2 linked regions of the Coturnix japonica genome follow. The protein of the gene in region 1 interacts with the protein of each later gene in a biochemical or structural test. Links are inferred from orthologs where the notes say so. Each region holds a gene or a part of one and is shown on either strand. Other genes may lie near its edges.

Region 1 (7,961 bases):
TCTTCATTTGTCCTGAAACGATTAATTACAAATAGGTTGCTATCAATTTTTATGATTCACTTCTAACTTCTTCAATGCTCATCATTGCTTTTGAATCCTTCTCTTGTTGAGCGTACTTTATTTAATGACTAGGAATAGACAATACTCCAAGTCAACACCTAACCTTGCCTACGATTCCCCTTTCAACATTAAATACTTCCACACAGTTTTGGAAGTTGATTTGTTTTCCTATTAATATAAACAAAGATCAACACAACAGATGTAGTAGGATAAGGCTTACAGAATGGCATTAATACATTGCTCCTGAAAATGTATACAGAGCTGTGTAAAGCAACCAAAGCCAACACTTGTAAGGAGTGCAGAAAAACCTGTTATTTGTGTTTTACACATGGAGAAATTAATGATAAAATTGATTTTTTTTGTGGGGAAAAACATCACGTGGGTTCCCGATTTGAGTAACTCTGAGCTTTAATCTCAAAGGAAAAACAATATGAAATCCAAAGCTCCTTTACTTGCTGCCAACCCTTGCTATTGATTAGCATTTTCATCTGCTTTACAACCTCACGTTCTATATCCTTTCTTGCTGATTTAAACAGCAGTCCTACCTGTTATCAAGAAGCAGCACGTGATGCTGCAGTGCTTGCTATCACACAACCTTTAAACTCATAGTCATATAAAGTAATCCAAATGCTACTAAGGAAGGTAGTAAAGCAAAAAAAGAATACATGAACATGACACATGTATAATTATTTTTAAATTTTATTAGCTTTTTTTTTTTTTCTCTGGGAAAATTCAGTGCCCCTCAGCAATTCTGCAAATGGGTAAAGCCCTGCTAAGAAAACACGTGTATGGGAACTGCTGGGCCACAGCCTGAACCAGCTGAGCAGCTGCTTTAGGGGTGTAGCCGGCCCTGGGAGCACAGGTGGAAGCAATTCACTTGTGTGACTGGAAGGGGGCAGAGCCTGGCTCCACCTCTCCCTAACCTCATTTAAGGGCTGGCAGCCACAAGGGAAGGATCTCTACTTGGAGATCATCTCCTTTGGAGTGTTTGGTGAGCCCTGATCCTCAGAAAGGGGTAAGTGATTCCTTCTTTATTACTGGATTGTATCTGCTATCTATTTGTTGGGTTTAAAGCAACTATACCTGCTGCTGCCTTACAAGCAGGAAGAGGAAGAAGTAAAATAGAAAAAGAAAACCCACAAAAAACCTTTGGAAGTCCACCTTCTGTTCTTCCTGGCTCAACCACTATCCAGCCCTTAGATCTCATAACTACATGGCAGCTGCAATCCAGGGTAAAAAATGAAACTAGTTGTATTCAGAAGCATTCATACCTTTAACAACATCGATCCCCAAGGTGAATTCACATTTAAATATCCTTGTGGGCCTCAAAGACCAAGTGTTAGGTTTTCTGAACCCCCTTTCTGACTTTACTATAGAAGAGTTTCCTGGATGCATGTTTTGATAGCTCAGTGCTTATGTCCAATCTAAGTGACAGAGTACTTACTGATTTCTTTTATAGGGTCAAACATGTCTACAGATACTATCAGTCTGCTGACATACTAATTTCTTCTACTCCTTTTAAGGCTGTGAGGTTTCTTCTTGGAAATGGAAAGAGAAATCCTACCAGCAGTCAGCATTTCTGAGAAGTATTAGCAAATCTTTGGTTTCGCTTTGCTGATGGCCCTGCTGTAAATGAAAATGAAATGGGTACCAAAGCACAACAGATATTCCCCTAGATCACAACCTTCCCATGGGCAGAGGTTGATGGTTCAGAGATCTATTGCTGTTACTTCAGTCCAAACAACTGTTGGCTTCTCAGCAGTCCAACATGTCAGGTTTTTCCTGTGTCCACTATACCTAACTAAACACATCTATCTACAGCACGTAGATTTATATGACTTAATGGACGTGCATTTCATTTTCCCCCTTTGATGGAAGACCACCTCTTTTAGCGATGAGAACAGTGGAGTTCTTAACTATTTATACCTTAGCTTTGCGGTGGTGGTTTTAAATAAGTGAACTTGCTATTTCAGATGTGACAAACTTCTCCCTCTTGCTACAGACAACAGGAAAAAATGCAGCCTCTGCACCTGCTGGGAAATGAAGCTCAGACATGCAAATCAGCCACTGTTTAAAATAAGGCCTTTTGTTTGCGTTGGCCTCCTGGCCTACATGACTCAAGCTGTGTAGCTCTGTGCTGGAGCTCCCATCACCCAACACCAAGAAGTTCATCCAGCCTTAGAGGAGTATATTAGATAAGCTTTCTCCCTAGTGAAACATTTTAGTGTGTGAGATTGTCTTGATTGTCTTGATGCTGAGCTGACCTGTGGCACACTGAGTGCTGCTCATGTTTCCACAGCAACAAGGAACATCACATAGAATCATAAGATGGCTTGAGTTGGAAGGGACCTGAAGGATCATCTAGCTCCAACCGATATGCTGCAGATAGGGCTGCTAACTGCTAGACTGAGCACTAGACCAGGCTGCCCTTGAACACCTCCAGGGATGGGGCATCCACAGCCTCTCTGGGCAGGCTGTGTCAAAGTCTCACCATCCTTTCTGTGGAAAAACTTCCCCCTGACATCTAATCTAAATCTTTTCTCCTTTAGTTTAAGACTCTTGTCCCATTTCCCCTTGTCCTATCACTACGTACCCTTGTAAATAGTAGATTTCCCTCCTGTTTATAAAGTCTCTCTCCATACTGGAAGGCTGTAATAAGGTCTCCCTACAGCCTTCTCCAGATTGAACAAGCCTAGTTTCTTCAGTACCCCCACCTTCATTCCTCTCAGCATCCTTATGTGCCTCCTCTGGGCCCTCTCTAAAAGTTCCACATCTTTCCTGTGCTGTGGGCCCTAGACCTGGACCCAGGACTCCAGATGGGACCTCAGGAGGGCAGAATGGAGGGGGACAAGCCTTTCCCTGCTGGCCACTCCTCTTCTGATGGAGCCCAGGATGCTGCTGTCCTTCAGGGCTAAAAGCACACACTGCCGGCTCATGTTAAGTCTTCCATCTAACAGGATCCCTAAGTCCTCAGCAGAAGGTGAGCTGGAAGGTACTGATGGAGCTGGAACTGCAGCACAGATCCCATGTGCTACTGCAGAAGGTGGGCGCGGAAATGTTCCTAGGAACAAGCTTGGCCTCCACCTGGGGATCAGCTGCAGTTATTAATCATGTAACTGAGAAAGATGAACCCACGTTAAGTGACTGTCCTATTTCACCCATCTCAGTACTTCTGCATCCACTTAGCGCCCTGAAATCAGGGCAGCCTCACTTTGGTGAGGCTCTTTGCAAATGCCTCGAGCCTTTCACTTTATGAGCGGCCGTTCTGACCGTCAGGACTGTAATGTCTCCCAGCAGACAGCAGTGCAGCAGGGCGCAGTTTCGGACACGGCCGGCACGTACTTACAGAGCAGAGCCCGGACTTGGCCCGCAGGCAGCACTCCCTCACCCGGCCGCCTGCTCTCTGGCAGCGATCATTCCCGCATCGTTCCCGCAGTGAATCACAGCTTCGTGTGCCGTGGCCGTGGCGCCGAGACCCGCCGTATCCCGCCACTCCGAGTCCCGCGCGCTGGCGTTCGAACGGCGGCCGTTGTGAGGCGGGGCCGTGCCGCGGGGCGGGGCTGGCTGCTGGCTGCTGCCGGCATTGCGGCCCGTTGGCGGCGGAGCGGGCGGCGGTGCCGGAGGTGAGGAGGTGAGGTGAGGCGGGGCAGAGCTGGCTGACCGGAGGGTGGGGTGGGGTGGGGTGGCAGCCGAGCTGCGCGGCCCCGCGGCGGCGGTGCGGGGTGAGGCGGGGCGGGCTGCGCTTTGTTCCCTCGGAGCGCTCCGCCATGGCGGCACTGCGGCCACAGGGAGCGCAGCTGCGTTAGCGTTACCGCGTGTGTACGAAGGCATGAAACAACAGCTTCCAGCCTCTAACAGCCCCGTGACTGTGTGTTTGCGGTCACACGCGGCGAGCTGTGCCCTTCTGTCACACGTAGGGCGCGTTGTGTGTCTGCGGTTTCTGTTTCGGACACGCGCTTCGTGGCTGTGACGGGTTGTTGTGTGGCAGCTGTAGGGCGAGCTGCCTGCACGGCTGTGAGGGCAGCTGGAGGCGGGTCAGCCTGCGGCTTCCCTTCCTCTCTCGGAAGCTTGGCTGTTATTGGCAGTGTTGTACAGTTTGTGTGGTTCAGAATTCAAGCGAACAGTGCCTCGAATTGAATCGTACAATCGTTTCAGGGACCTCCAAAGGCCGCGTGGTCCCCTCTGTACTGAACAGGGACACCTGCAGCTCCATCAGGTGCTCAGAGCCCCCCCTGCCTGACCTGGGCTGTCTCCAGGGATGGGGCATCCACCGCCTCTGGGCAGCCTTGGTGGTTCTTATGTGGCAGCAGTGATAGATACGAAGATCTGAGTGCGATAAATAAGTCCAGGATGGAACAAACTAAACACTTAAATTTAATCATCTCCCTATCAAAACAAAAGCATTGAAACAACTGCATCTAGGTAGAGCAAAATATGCTTTTGGTTTCATTGCTGTCTAGGAGACGCTGGTTGTTTCTCATAGCTTGCTGAGCATTGTGCCTCTCTCAAGCACTGTGTTTTACCACACTGTACTGCTGCAGCTCACTGTAGGATTACCTTTACACCCTTTATCTCCATCTCGCAGCTTGTTTGCTTAGCCTGTGTGACCTGAAGCAGAAATATTGTAAAACAGGTCATAAAAATAGGCTTCCTGACATCTGCAGAACGTATTCTGCTGGGTTTGTAAAAAAGCTGCTGCTTGTTTTTGCTGCTTGATTTTTTACATTTCCTTGGGATTGAAAACTCTTCTTACCAAAGCTTTCAGGAAAGGAGCATCAAGGAGCAGATTAAGTTCTCTTATTAATTTTTTGAAGCGTTGTCCTGATTTCTTTCCCCGTCCCTTTCAGCATGAGATCATTCTCCACAGGGAAATGTGAATTCTGCTTGACAGAATATGACATCATTGCATTACCTCAACTAGGATGAGGCAATTCTTAGTCCATTTGAATCAGCATCGTCCTGCAGGGAGCAGTGCTGTCACCTTGACTGGTGCTTTAAAGCAGAAAGCGTGTGTTTGAGCGCCTAGCAAGGAAACAGGTCTCTCTTTGTGGATGTATGTTGCCTTTTAGAGAAGCGCAAGTGACTTGGTGCATTAAGGCATTCAGAAACTCTGAACTCTTCTTACTCTTTATAGCAAGTGTTGATATTATTGATAGTGTTGTTAGTGAATCATTCAGTTGTGCTAAATCTTAAAGTTGCCTGTTGAAGTCTGCAGCCATTTGCCAGCGTTTTTCCTGCTGCTGCTTACTGAAACCAGCCCCTAATGGGATGCAGGGTTTTGTTTGGCGCAGCTGCCCAGAGCAGCTTGGTAATCCACTTACCCTCTGTAACCATCCTAAATTCACTCTGTAGGCCAAGGAGTCAAGAGCTGTCCCCATACTTTGGCCAAGTCTTTCTATAAGCAGTCCTTGGTAGCTTGGCTCATGTGATGGACAAGGTGTGACCACATCTCAGGTGGTCATATATTTGTTAGTTTACACTGCCTGGGCCCAGCCCTTAAGTGCTGGCACTGCCGAGCTTCATAGTGCTGGAGAAATATCTGTGCCGGAGCAGGGGGATGTTGGACATTCTTTTCAATGACAGCTGTTCTTGCCAATTCCCAGCAGTGTCAAGCTCTACAGTTCACTGCAACTGAAAAGCAGAGAGTTCTATGCTTGTGTTACCCTTTGGAACCATGTGTCTTTTTTTTTTTTATGTAGGGAGCTTCTAAGAAATTAAACTTTGTAGCTGGGCAGAGTGAATCCTGATCATGGTGCTGGGTAGGGAAGTTCAGCATAACCAACTGGGTTCCTGCCTCATCATATTTAAAGTGTGTTTCTAAAATATAAACTGATGATGCATCTTATGAACTCTATTTCTAAAATAACAGCTTTTTTGATGCTTCTGTAATTTGTTTTTCAGGAGATCTCATATGTATTATGATATAGTTCTCAAGTCTGGAATCACCTTGTGAACCATATTTCTTAATTACGTCAGTGCTTCAAGATACAGTGAAGCAGTAGTCAGAATAACCTTGAAGATCTTTTGGAGCTACTAGAAATGTACGTAACTGTCTCTAAAGAAACAAGGAAAGAGAGAAGTTCATACATACCCAGACTAGTGCTTTTCGTGCATTGGCAATTGTAGCCACAGAAAATACGTGGTCCCAAGGATATTCATGGTGTATTATTTAGAATATAAATAAGAAGAGTAATTATTACTTTGTCTTGTGCAGAGATTTAACTTTGTGATGCTTAGACCTTTTCTGAATCCCAAGTTATCTTTAACTTGTGATGATGGCATTAAACTAAGAGGGTAGATTTACATTAGACAATGAGAAGTTGTTTGGGTTTTTTTGTTTTCTTTTTCATTCAGAGGGCAGTGAGGTGCTGGCACTGCTGCCCAGAGCTGTGGGTGCCCCATCCCTGTAGGTGCCCAAGGTTGGATGGGCCCTGGTGTCTCGCTCCAATTTAGGAGTGAGGCAAGGTTCTTTTGATATGTTATGCCCAGCGTGAGATTAAGAAGAAAAACATTCAAATGTTGATCCGACCAGTTTATTAGAAATAATAGACAGCAGAGGGGATGGGGAAAGGAGAGCGGCGAATACCAAAATTAGGGTGATGGGGATGGGAAAGTAGGCGATAGAAAAAGTAGGAAAAGAGGCAAGAATTGCTTAAAAGTGGGGAATAGTCACCACCTGGATGCAGCAGCGTCCCGTTGCACGTTGTTTCGTTGATCCGGGGCAAAATAGGCGTAGGGGAGAGCAGCAGCAGAGTGGCGGGCCGCAAGCAGCAGATCAGTGCAGCGCAGAGCAGATGGTCAGAGTAGCAAGGTCTCATGGAGCAGAGTCTCGAGCAGCAATCCCAGGAGAGACAGTAGGCAGCAGTAGGACGACGGTGGAGGAATCAAAGGTCAGATACCTAAAAGATTCTTCAGCATGCAGGCATCTTCTTCAGAATGCAGGCGTTCACGTAGAGAGGCATCTGATGACAGAAAACCTCCTTGTTTCCGTAGTGAGGCATCTGGTGTCAGAAAACCTAAATTCGGGGTTTGTACGTGCCCTTTTTATCCTTCTTCTTCCCGGCCTACCTGACAATCCTGGAAGGCTCGGGTCAGAGTCCTGTGAATTCCTCGGAGATGGCCATCTTCCTTGAGACAGGCCCACACAGAAAGACCACTTTAGGGCCATTAATCTGCATCTTATCTCCCTTTCGTAGCTCCCAGACTTGTCCATCTCTTAAACAAAGGGATTTCTCGAACCTTGGTTCCTATGTGTCTCAGACAAAGGGAGTCCTGGAACCTTGGCCAGGACTTGCCTGAACTTGTCCATTTCAGCAAACTTTTGAGGCAATAGTGTAAAAAGCATGGCCTCTTACACCTGGGCAGCCTGAGCTGGTGGGGGCACCCAGTTCACGGCAGTGATTGGGGCTTGGGTGGCTTTAAGGTCCCTTCTAAATCAAACCATCAACTGGAAGGAAGGATTATTGCTTTTAAATTAATTTCTGCCTTGATATCTTATGTTTCTTTTTTGCTTGTGTTTTCAAGCTGATAATCAAGAGCCAGAATGACAGACATAAAAGATGGACCACGCTCAGGGGAAGATCTGTCAGATGCAAGATCTTTCCCTGGTTCCAAAGGGTAAGTGAGATACTTTTGGCTTAAGTTTTCAATGTAAGTGTTGAGGAATCTTATGCTGTAACTGAAGATGAGAGCTGTAGAAGAGATACTAATAAAATTAAGCTTTCAAATATGCTACAGTATGCTAATCATTTATATATATATATATATAAAAGTTCCTGTGCTGGCTTTGAAAGTATACCATCTCTGACAAAACAGGCCATATGTATGAACAAGGAACAAAAAAGCAGAATACCTAAGGTGCAGTTAGATATGGGTTAGCAGTTACCAAGCCATTAACTATA
Region 2 (7,874 bases), on another chromosome or scaffold:
GTCTTCATCTGAATCATCTTCCCAGTCTTTCCAGTTGTTGAAATCCACGCTGAGCCAGTTGAGCTGCAGGTTAACATAAAGAAAATGAAAGACAAGCTGTTACTACACAGGATGAGAACTACCAGAACTGCCAACCCAACCAGCAAAGCAAGCAATGCTGCACCATTCAAACATGACCCCCCCACACACACACAAAAGAGGGGCCATCAAGTACAGACTGCTACAGACACCGAGGGGATGAAACCCACCTTTGCCCTCTCTTTTGTTAACCTTGGCCATGCCTGACCAGATTCTCCTTTTCGTAAACAACACAAGATAGATCTGTCTGTTCTTTTATGCTTTGATTCCTGGGGAAAGAAAGACATAAAAAAGACAGTAATTGTTAGTTTAGTAATCACTGACACCATCACAAACTCATATTATTCATTGTTTTAAGCTGTTTAGTTATTCCTTGCCCTGAAAAGCACTGCCTGTTCTTTAAGCTACCCCCAGTACTGTGAGAAAGTTGATCCTTAGGGTGCAAAAGCACTCAGACACACGAAAGCACAGCGTGGCTATTTATCAGACAGCTCCCATTACCAGCAGGTCTGCATGACTCCAGAAATCAATGCCATGCTTTTAATTACAACAATAATTAAAAGTGAGGAAATGCAACAGGTGAAACGGCACCGAGTGCTTGAGGTTGACTGAGCAAAACCCCCCTTATGTGCCCATGGGTGAGGAGGAGCAAACAAGGGGCAGCACAGGGGGAGCAGCTCCCCTCTGCAGGGTGCAACTTGCTTTAGGAAAGGCAGGCAATGTGAATGAGAAAGAGCTGAACATTCTGCACACAGCGTTAAGAACGTGGTAGAAGAGCTGCAGAGGGTACTTACATTTGGATCAATATTATTAAAAAGGTCGATTTCGTTTAAATGTTTAAAGTTATCACTTCCTCCAAGACAACTGGGGAGAGAACAAAAAACAAAAGAGCTTTCAGCAGGAAATGTCTTATGCTATAAATAAAGGTTGGTAACAGAGCTCGCTCCTTTAAGGTAAAGCATCACCTCATCAGCACTGGTGCAGCTGTGGGTATCCCAGTGCTGACGTGACCCAGCACTTACCTGAACGTAAGTTTGGATTTCTCAAAATTTACATTAACATCTTTACTGTCTTCCACACAGAACTCGATGAAGACGTAATCCCTTCGGTCGTACCACTTCGCAGAAGCAGGCTGCCTGCAGGGAGACCATTTAAAGACATTCAGGTTAGGATTTCAGCTCGCCTTTAAAGAGCATTTAAAGCTGATATGAAGGCTGAAGAGAAGATGGGTCGTCCAAGAGCTTCACGTCAAACCCAGCTGGGATCGGTACCACCAAACCAGCAGCATCATGACCCACATTTCACATTCTACACCTGCAGATTCCAACTCCAAGCTGGCATCCCTTGAGACAGAAGGCAGCTCCTGCCCTCCTGCAGCACAAAACACTGCTGGGTTCCTGAGCTTCCATACAGGCAGCTCAAGCTCCAGGTGAGCAGCACTGTTTGAGTGCATCCACCCCACACCAGGGGGGTAACAGCAGCCCCACTGCCAGCTCCCATCACATCCAGCCCATCCCCACAGCTCAACCACCCCATCCCAGTGTTAAACACCCAGCAGGAGCTGCTGTTGCTATGGCAGGGTGAGCACAGAGCTTTGCTCCCAGAGGTGTGTGAGCAACGCTGCAATTCCAGTGCTGAAGTTTCCTGTTCTGAACCCGCCGGTCATTTCCTTTGGTATTTCCAGCACAGCTCCAGGCAGTGAAAGCACATCAGGACACATAGAATAAGGTGCTGCTCTCTGTAGCACCTTCATGCTGTGAGGTGCTCGGACTCAGCGCTGCACTCTAAAGCATTACAGCATGAGAACCCAACCAAAGACGGATTAAGTTTCCAGAACGTTCCATCAGGGTGACCCGCCGTTAAGCTTCCAGAGCAGATCTCAACTCCCACCCCATTCAGCTGCAGCTACTGAGCTCACCTGCACCGTGACCCATAGGGTGCAGCCACTGCTGTGAGCCCAAAGCAGCCCCACAACCACAACTCACAGACGCTGTTTTAAGTTCAAACCCCACCATTCTTCCTGCCTGCAAGGAGTTGGGATTGAAGCTACTGTGATTCAGCTGATAAAGGGGAGAGAGACCAAATGGGATCCACTCCACGGCTGATTCCTGAATTGCTGCTGCTTATAAAGCCAAGGGACAGAGATCCCACCAGCCAGCGTGCTGTTATCACAACAGCAGCCTCAGTGTCCCTGCTGAGCACGGTGCTGAGGCTCTTGTGAATAGCAAGAAGACTTTGCACGTGTTTGCAGTGTCAATGGAGACATCCCCAGCCTTCCCTGCGAGCTGGGCACGTTCCCTGGTTGTGCTGTTCTAACCCAGCCTCGATGCTTGTATCCAGCTTACTCCAATGCAATTCATGTTTCTAACAGCAAACTTCTAGTACCTCCCCACATGCTGAAATACACTCAGTGCAACACATTAAAACCGTGCTAGAAGTCTTATATGAACTACTCACCTTCCTTTCCATCTCTCATAGGGAAACAGAGGCCTTCCCTGGGCTGCTGGACTCACCATCTGAATAGGGCAGCTACATAGTGGCTTCTAATGGTGATTCCTATCTCATGCTGTGCTGTGGTTCACACTGCTCTGAGCAGACCCAGGTTGAGCAGTGCAGGTGGTTCCCCCTCACCCCCCGCAGACCCAGCACCCATTTCCTCCCAGCACTGAGAAGGATGTTGGGATCATTAAGCAGAGCCCAGCGCTTCCTCCTGGCTCAGCTGAGCTCATAGAATGAGAGCAGAATAAATTAATTAGACGTTACTTCAGCCTTATGCCAACATTGTCAAGCAGAGCGTTGTGTGTGTGCTTTGGTGATGGATCGCCCTCCTGTCCTAACCACATTGAGAACAGAGCAAATAAACCTTAAGTCCCACCCAACAACCAACTGCCAGGCACTGAATAGAGCCAAGCACAGCAATGGAGCCCTCCCCATATTCCCAGAGGGCTCCACCATCACCTGTAGAGTCTGGTGACCTTCTGAATACAGACACATAGAATGGCCTGGGTTAAAAAGGACCACAGTGAGCACTGAGTCCCAACCCCATTATGTGCAGGGTCACCAACCAGCTGCCCAGAGCCACATCCAGCCTGGCCTTGAATGCCTGCAGGGATGGGGCATCCACAGCCTCTTTAGGCAGCCTGTTCCAATGCATTACCACCTTCCTCCTAAAATCCAACCTAAACCTTCCCTATCTCAGTTTCAAACCATCCCCCTTGTCCAATGAGGATGGCAATGATCACAGCAGCTCTGTGCTGGGTTGAGAAGCCCCCTCACCCCTTGGTAGGCTCCGTTGGGGGGGGGGGGGATCCTCAGCCCCTGTGCCCCCATATTGAGCTCAGATCACACCAGGCACAACTTGAGGCCATCAGGATGCCCCCAAAGCTGCCCACGTGCTTTTTCTCTTCCCCATTCAACACACTGGGAGGACACATCCCATCCTGGAAAGCACATTGACAGCCCGGATGGCTGCAGGCATCATCTGCTGGACAAAGATCCTCACCCCCCATAGAGGATCACGAGAAACCCTCTTATCTCCACAGCCAGCGTGACGAGTTTTGCTCCCCATTAACTCCTTTTGCATTAACTCCTTTTGCTTTCATCTCCCAGCACCACGTGGGAGCTGCAGGCCGTGAGAACAACCCCAGGCATCGCAATGCAGCAGCGCTGAGCTCTGGGGATGATGCAGCCTTTAAGGTTACACGGAGCTCTCAGCTCTGAGACTCTTTGCTCCTTCTAAGTCCCATTCAGCAGCCCTAGAGCTCAGAGTGATGGCGGTGATGGCCACAGTGATCAACCCATTGGATCAATGAGAACCGGCGGGTCTCAAGTCACGGGGTTTGGGGCAAATAACACCGGGAAGGTGCCGCTGTTTGCATTCACTCCAATCACTGCATGGAGCTGAACCACTTAGGGCACAACACATCGGGCTCAGCGCTCAGCCCGGCCCGGGGCTCAACCGGACCCGGGGCTCGACCGGACCCGGAGCTCAGCCGGACCCGGAGCTCATCCCGTCCCGTCCCGCAGCCCCGTCCGTCCCCGCCCGGTTCCCATTCATTGCCCGCCGTCTCGCTGCTCGCTGCCCCGCACCGGGACAGGCCTCATGTCGCGGCCCATCCCGGCGCTGATCGCGTTGCTCCGCTCCAGGCCGCGGCCTGTTCCCATGTCGGTGCCCGCCCCCTCCGCCGCTCACGGTGTAGGCCCGGAGCGCCCCCCCCACACACACACAACCCCCCTCAGGGCCTCACATGGCGAGTGGCGGCGGCGGCGGCTCCAGTCGTTGGGGGGACACGGCCTAACCCGGCGGGTGGCGGCGCTGTGTCTCTCGGTGTGTGTCGGTGTGTGTCGGTGTGTCGGTGTGTGTCGGTGCGGCCCGTTGAGCTCCGGGCGCTCCGAAGGCTCCGGGCTCGGCGCGGCCTCGGTTCCCACAATGCACCGCGCGGCGGCGGCGCCCAACGTTGGTGACGCAGCAAAATACCGCCGCGCCGATTCGGCCGCTTCACTCTGCGCATGCGCGTGTCCCGCGTGTCGCCTCCGGCGCGCGGCGCTTCCCGCCCTCCCCTCATTGGCCACGCCCCCTCCTCCCTTCTAGCAGCTTCTCGGCGCGCATGCGCACTGCGCTGAGTGGGCGGAGCCAGTGGTTACCATGGAGACATGGGGGGGGGGCAGCGGCCTGTAGGCGCGCCTGAGAGAAGTTGAGGCCTCAGTCAGTGCGGCTCTATCAATTAAGTTTTATTAACTGATAGAAACAAAGTACAAATGTTAAATGTAGGTTTTCCTTTAAGTCTTCTCTGAAATAACCAAAAAAAAAAAAAAAAAAAAAAAAAAAAAAAAGAAATATAGTAATAGGTTCCCTCTCCTGCCGTTCGGCTCTACACGTCAATCTCCTGAGGAGAGAAAAAGAGGCGTCAGTAGGCCCCAAAGGCGACAGTAGGCCTCAATGGGGGCTGTAGGCCTCAATGGGGGCTGTAGGCCTCAATGGGGGCTGTAGGCCTCAATGGGGGCTGTAGGCCTCATGGCGGAGTAGCCCCCATGGCGGCAGTAGGCCCCAATGGCATCAGTAGGCCCCAATGGCATCAGTAGGCCCCAATGGCATCAGTAGGCCCCAATGGAGGCAGTAGGCCCCAATGGCGGCAGTAGGCCCCAATGGCATCAGTAGGTCTCTGCAATGGGGCAGTAGTGCGTCCAATGGCATCAATAGGCCCTCAATGGCGATTTCAGTAGGCCCCAATGGCATTCAGCAGGTCCCCAATGGCATCAGCAGGCCCCAATGAGGCAGTAGGCCCCAATGGCGGTAGGCCTCAATGGCGGTAGGCCTCAATGGCATCAGTAAGGCCCCAATGGTGGCAGTAGGCCCCCAATGGAGGCAGTAGGCCCCAATGGAGGCAGTAGGCCTCAATGGCATCAGAGGCCCACAATGGCGGCAGTAGTGCCCCGAATGGCATCAGTATGGCCCCATGGCGGCAGTAGGCCCCAATGGAGGCAGTAGGGCCCAAATGGAGGCAGTAGGCCCCAATGGCGGCAGTGCGGCCTAGTGGTAGGCCTCAAACAGCAGAGGTGGGATGTGGGATATGAGATATAGAATGTGGGATATGAAATGTGGGTTATGGGATATGGGATGTGAAATGTGGGATGTAGGCCCCCCCCCAGCACACAGCAGCTCACCATTATAGCGTTTACAATGTCGTTGCTGTTGTTCTTCAGGGCACGGACCGCCTTCGCTCTGGACACGTTGGCCTGGGACATGACCAGCTCGATGTCTTTCACCTCCACACCGGTTTCATCAACCTAAAGAAGCAGCGTCCAGCTCTGACTGCAGCTCAGCACAGTTTGCTCCTTGCAGCCCCCAAGGATCTGCTCCCTTCTGCCATTGAGGCAGATGGAGAGCTGCATGTCTGCACACACATCCTGCTTGGCCGCCCATCAGAGGCAGGAGTGGATGGGGAAGCCCTACAGGGCCGTCTGGGGAAGGGCTCACCTCTTCTTCCTCGCTCTCCTCCTGCACGGTGGGGGTCTGTGTGTTTTCCTGGATGTTTGAGACGGCTTCTCCTTGCACTTTGAACTTCTCGGCAGCCGCCAGCTGGGCCTGCTGGGACAGATCTTCAATCTAGAAGAAGGAAAGAGCAGAAGTGAGGCCAGGTCCATGCAGTGTGATGGCGGCACACAGGCTCAGATGGGGGAGGCTGAGCTTGGCAGCACCCACACGCAGCAACCCCGATGTCGGTGTGGGTTGTGGGCCTCCCTGCACCACCCCAGGGCACAAATAGGGGTGTAGGCAGCAAGAACAAACCCCCACCACCCCTCACAGCTCTGCAGTCTGCCCCCTGTTGCTGTGAACACGGAGGAGTGTGGCTGCCTGGCACGGCAGTCAGCTGACCTTTGCTTCTCCAAAGACTATATAGGTGTCTGATGCTGGGCTCTTGTACACATCAGGTTTTGTGATGACAAAGAGGATGTTCTTAGATTTGCGGATGGTGACTCTGGTTACTCCTGTGACCTGGCGGAGGCCGAGTTTAGACATTGCCTGAAAAACAAATGAGAAAGAGAAGTGAAGGGATGAAAAGGTACTGACACAGCTCAGCCCGTCAGTTGTGTCCCCTCATCAGTCATTCTCAGGTTTTCAGACTGACATAGCACAGTCTGGGAGGAAACTTCTAAGTCCCATCCACGTCATGGATCCACATCATCCATGGATCCATGGAGCCACTCCAGACAAAAGGATTTTGCTTATGAACAGGGACATTCCCTCGCCTAGGGGTCTAATGAAGGCAAAAAGTGATATGAACCTCTTGCAGCTCCCACAGGCTGCAATGCTGGGCTGGGAGGTGAGGAGCTGCTGCCTTGAATGGCTTCCCAAGGCAAACACCAGGCACTCGAGGGTAATATGCAAGACCCCAAAGCCACAGCTTGTCCACATACACATCTGCCCACTCGCCTTCCTCTTACCTTCCGTGCTTTCTTTTCACTCCGGCTCTGTTTTGCTTTGCTAACAGGTTCTTCATCTATTTCAGCTGCTGCTGCAAGCTGCAAGGAGAGCAAACAGGAGAGTGCTGTGACAACCATACAGAGCTGGTGGGGTAAAGGGCATATATCTGTCCCCACAGGACACGGGGTGGCTGGTTTGCACCCCTCCCTACCTGTGCCTGCTGTGTTGTGGCCTGTGTGGAGTCGTGCTCTTCAAGCTCTGGTACAGACTCATCGCTGTCAGACTCTGTTCCAGACCCTGCAGAAATGAATGTCACAGTTCTCAGCTCAGCACCTTGCCAGGAGCTTCAGGCAGCTCCAGGGGACACAGTAAGCTCATGGAACACTAATGCCTTAGTGTCAGCTGTTGCTGGTGATTTGAATTCCAAGTGAAATGCATTTCCAGTTGGTGTGCTTGAGTAACACCTGGTGGGAAGAGCTTTGCAGCCATGAGCAGGGACAGCAGTGGGCCAGTCAGAGCCACCCTGCCTCCTCCTGGCTCTTGCCATGGTGGAAGATGCCCAAGAGCAGCCAGAGAAGCCACACCAGGGGCCAGGCAGTGCTCTGTGCCCAAAGACTCAGCCCAACTCCAATGCTCCAGGCCAGAGCCACGGCCCAGTGAGTCAGCAGCAATGCTCTCAGAGCTCCTCAAACCTGTTCAGCTGCAGGCACTGCGGGAGCTGAGACACGGCACGGAACCAAGACCCAGCCCACCAGGCCCTTGGGGCTGCTGCACCTCTCTGTGACTCGATGACAGGCTGATCTATACTCAGTTTGAAAACCCTCATCAAAAACAACCTTTTGGACACTCAGTTTGGCCTCTCCACCAGCTC

Evidence for each region.
Region 2: of the proteins of CASP3 (region 1) and PTGES3, one has a biochemical effect on the other in vitro, tested with the Homo sapiens proteins (2 studies listed by BioGRID and IntAct). The link is inferred for Coturnix japonica from reciprocal best matches to the Homo sapiens genes CASP3 and PTGES3.

What each region holds. Positions count from the first base shown.
Region 1 is NC_029519.1:34,956,997-34,964,957, forward strand, and holds the start of CASP3 (caspase-3), read left to right. Parts: upstream 1-3,581; 5' UTR 3,582-3,691; exon of another isoform or gene 3,692-3,696; intron 3,697-5,961; exon of another isoform or gene 5,962-6,101; intron 6,102-7,584; 5' UTR 7,585-7,603; coding exon 7,604-7,677; intron 7,678-7,961. Other genes in the region: PRIMPOL (DNA-directed primase/polymerase protein), read right to left, coding at 1-7. UniProt on the Homo sapiens protein: Thiol protease that acts as a major effector caspase involved in the execution phase of apoptosis. Following cleavage and activation by initiator caspases (CASP8, CASP9 and/or CASP10), mediates execution of apoptosis by catalyzing cleavage of many proteins.
Region 2 is NC_029544.1:1,697,919-1,705,792, reverse strand, and holds the start of PTGES3 (prostaglandin E synthase 3), read right to left. Parts: upstream 4,577-7,874; 5' UTR 4,328-4,576; coding exon 4,326-4,327; intron 1,215-4,325; coding exon 1,101-1,214; intron 943-1,100; coding exon 873-942; intron 348-872; coding exon 249-347; intron 64-248; coding exon 1-63. Other genes in the region: NACA (nascent polypeptide-associated complex subunit alpha), read right to left, coding at 5,482-5,865, 6,056-6,184, 6,455-6,601, 7,024-7,101, 7,215-7,300. UniProt on the Homo sapiens protein: Cytosolic prostaglandin synthase that catalyzes the oxidoreduction of prostaglandin endoperoxide H2 (PGH2) to prostaglandin E2 (PGE2).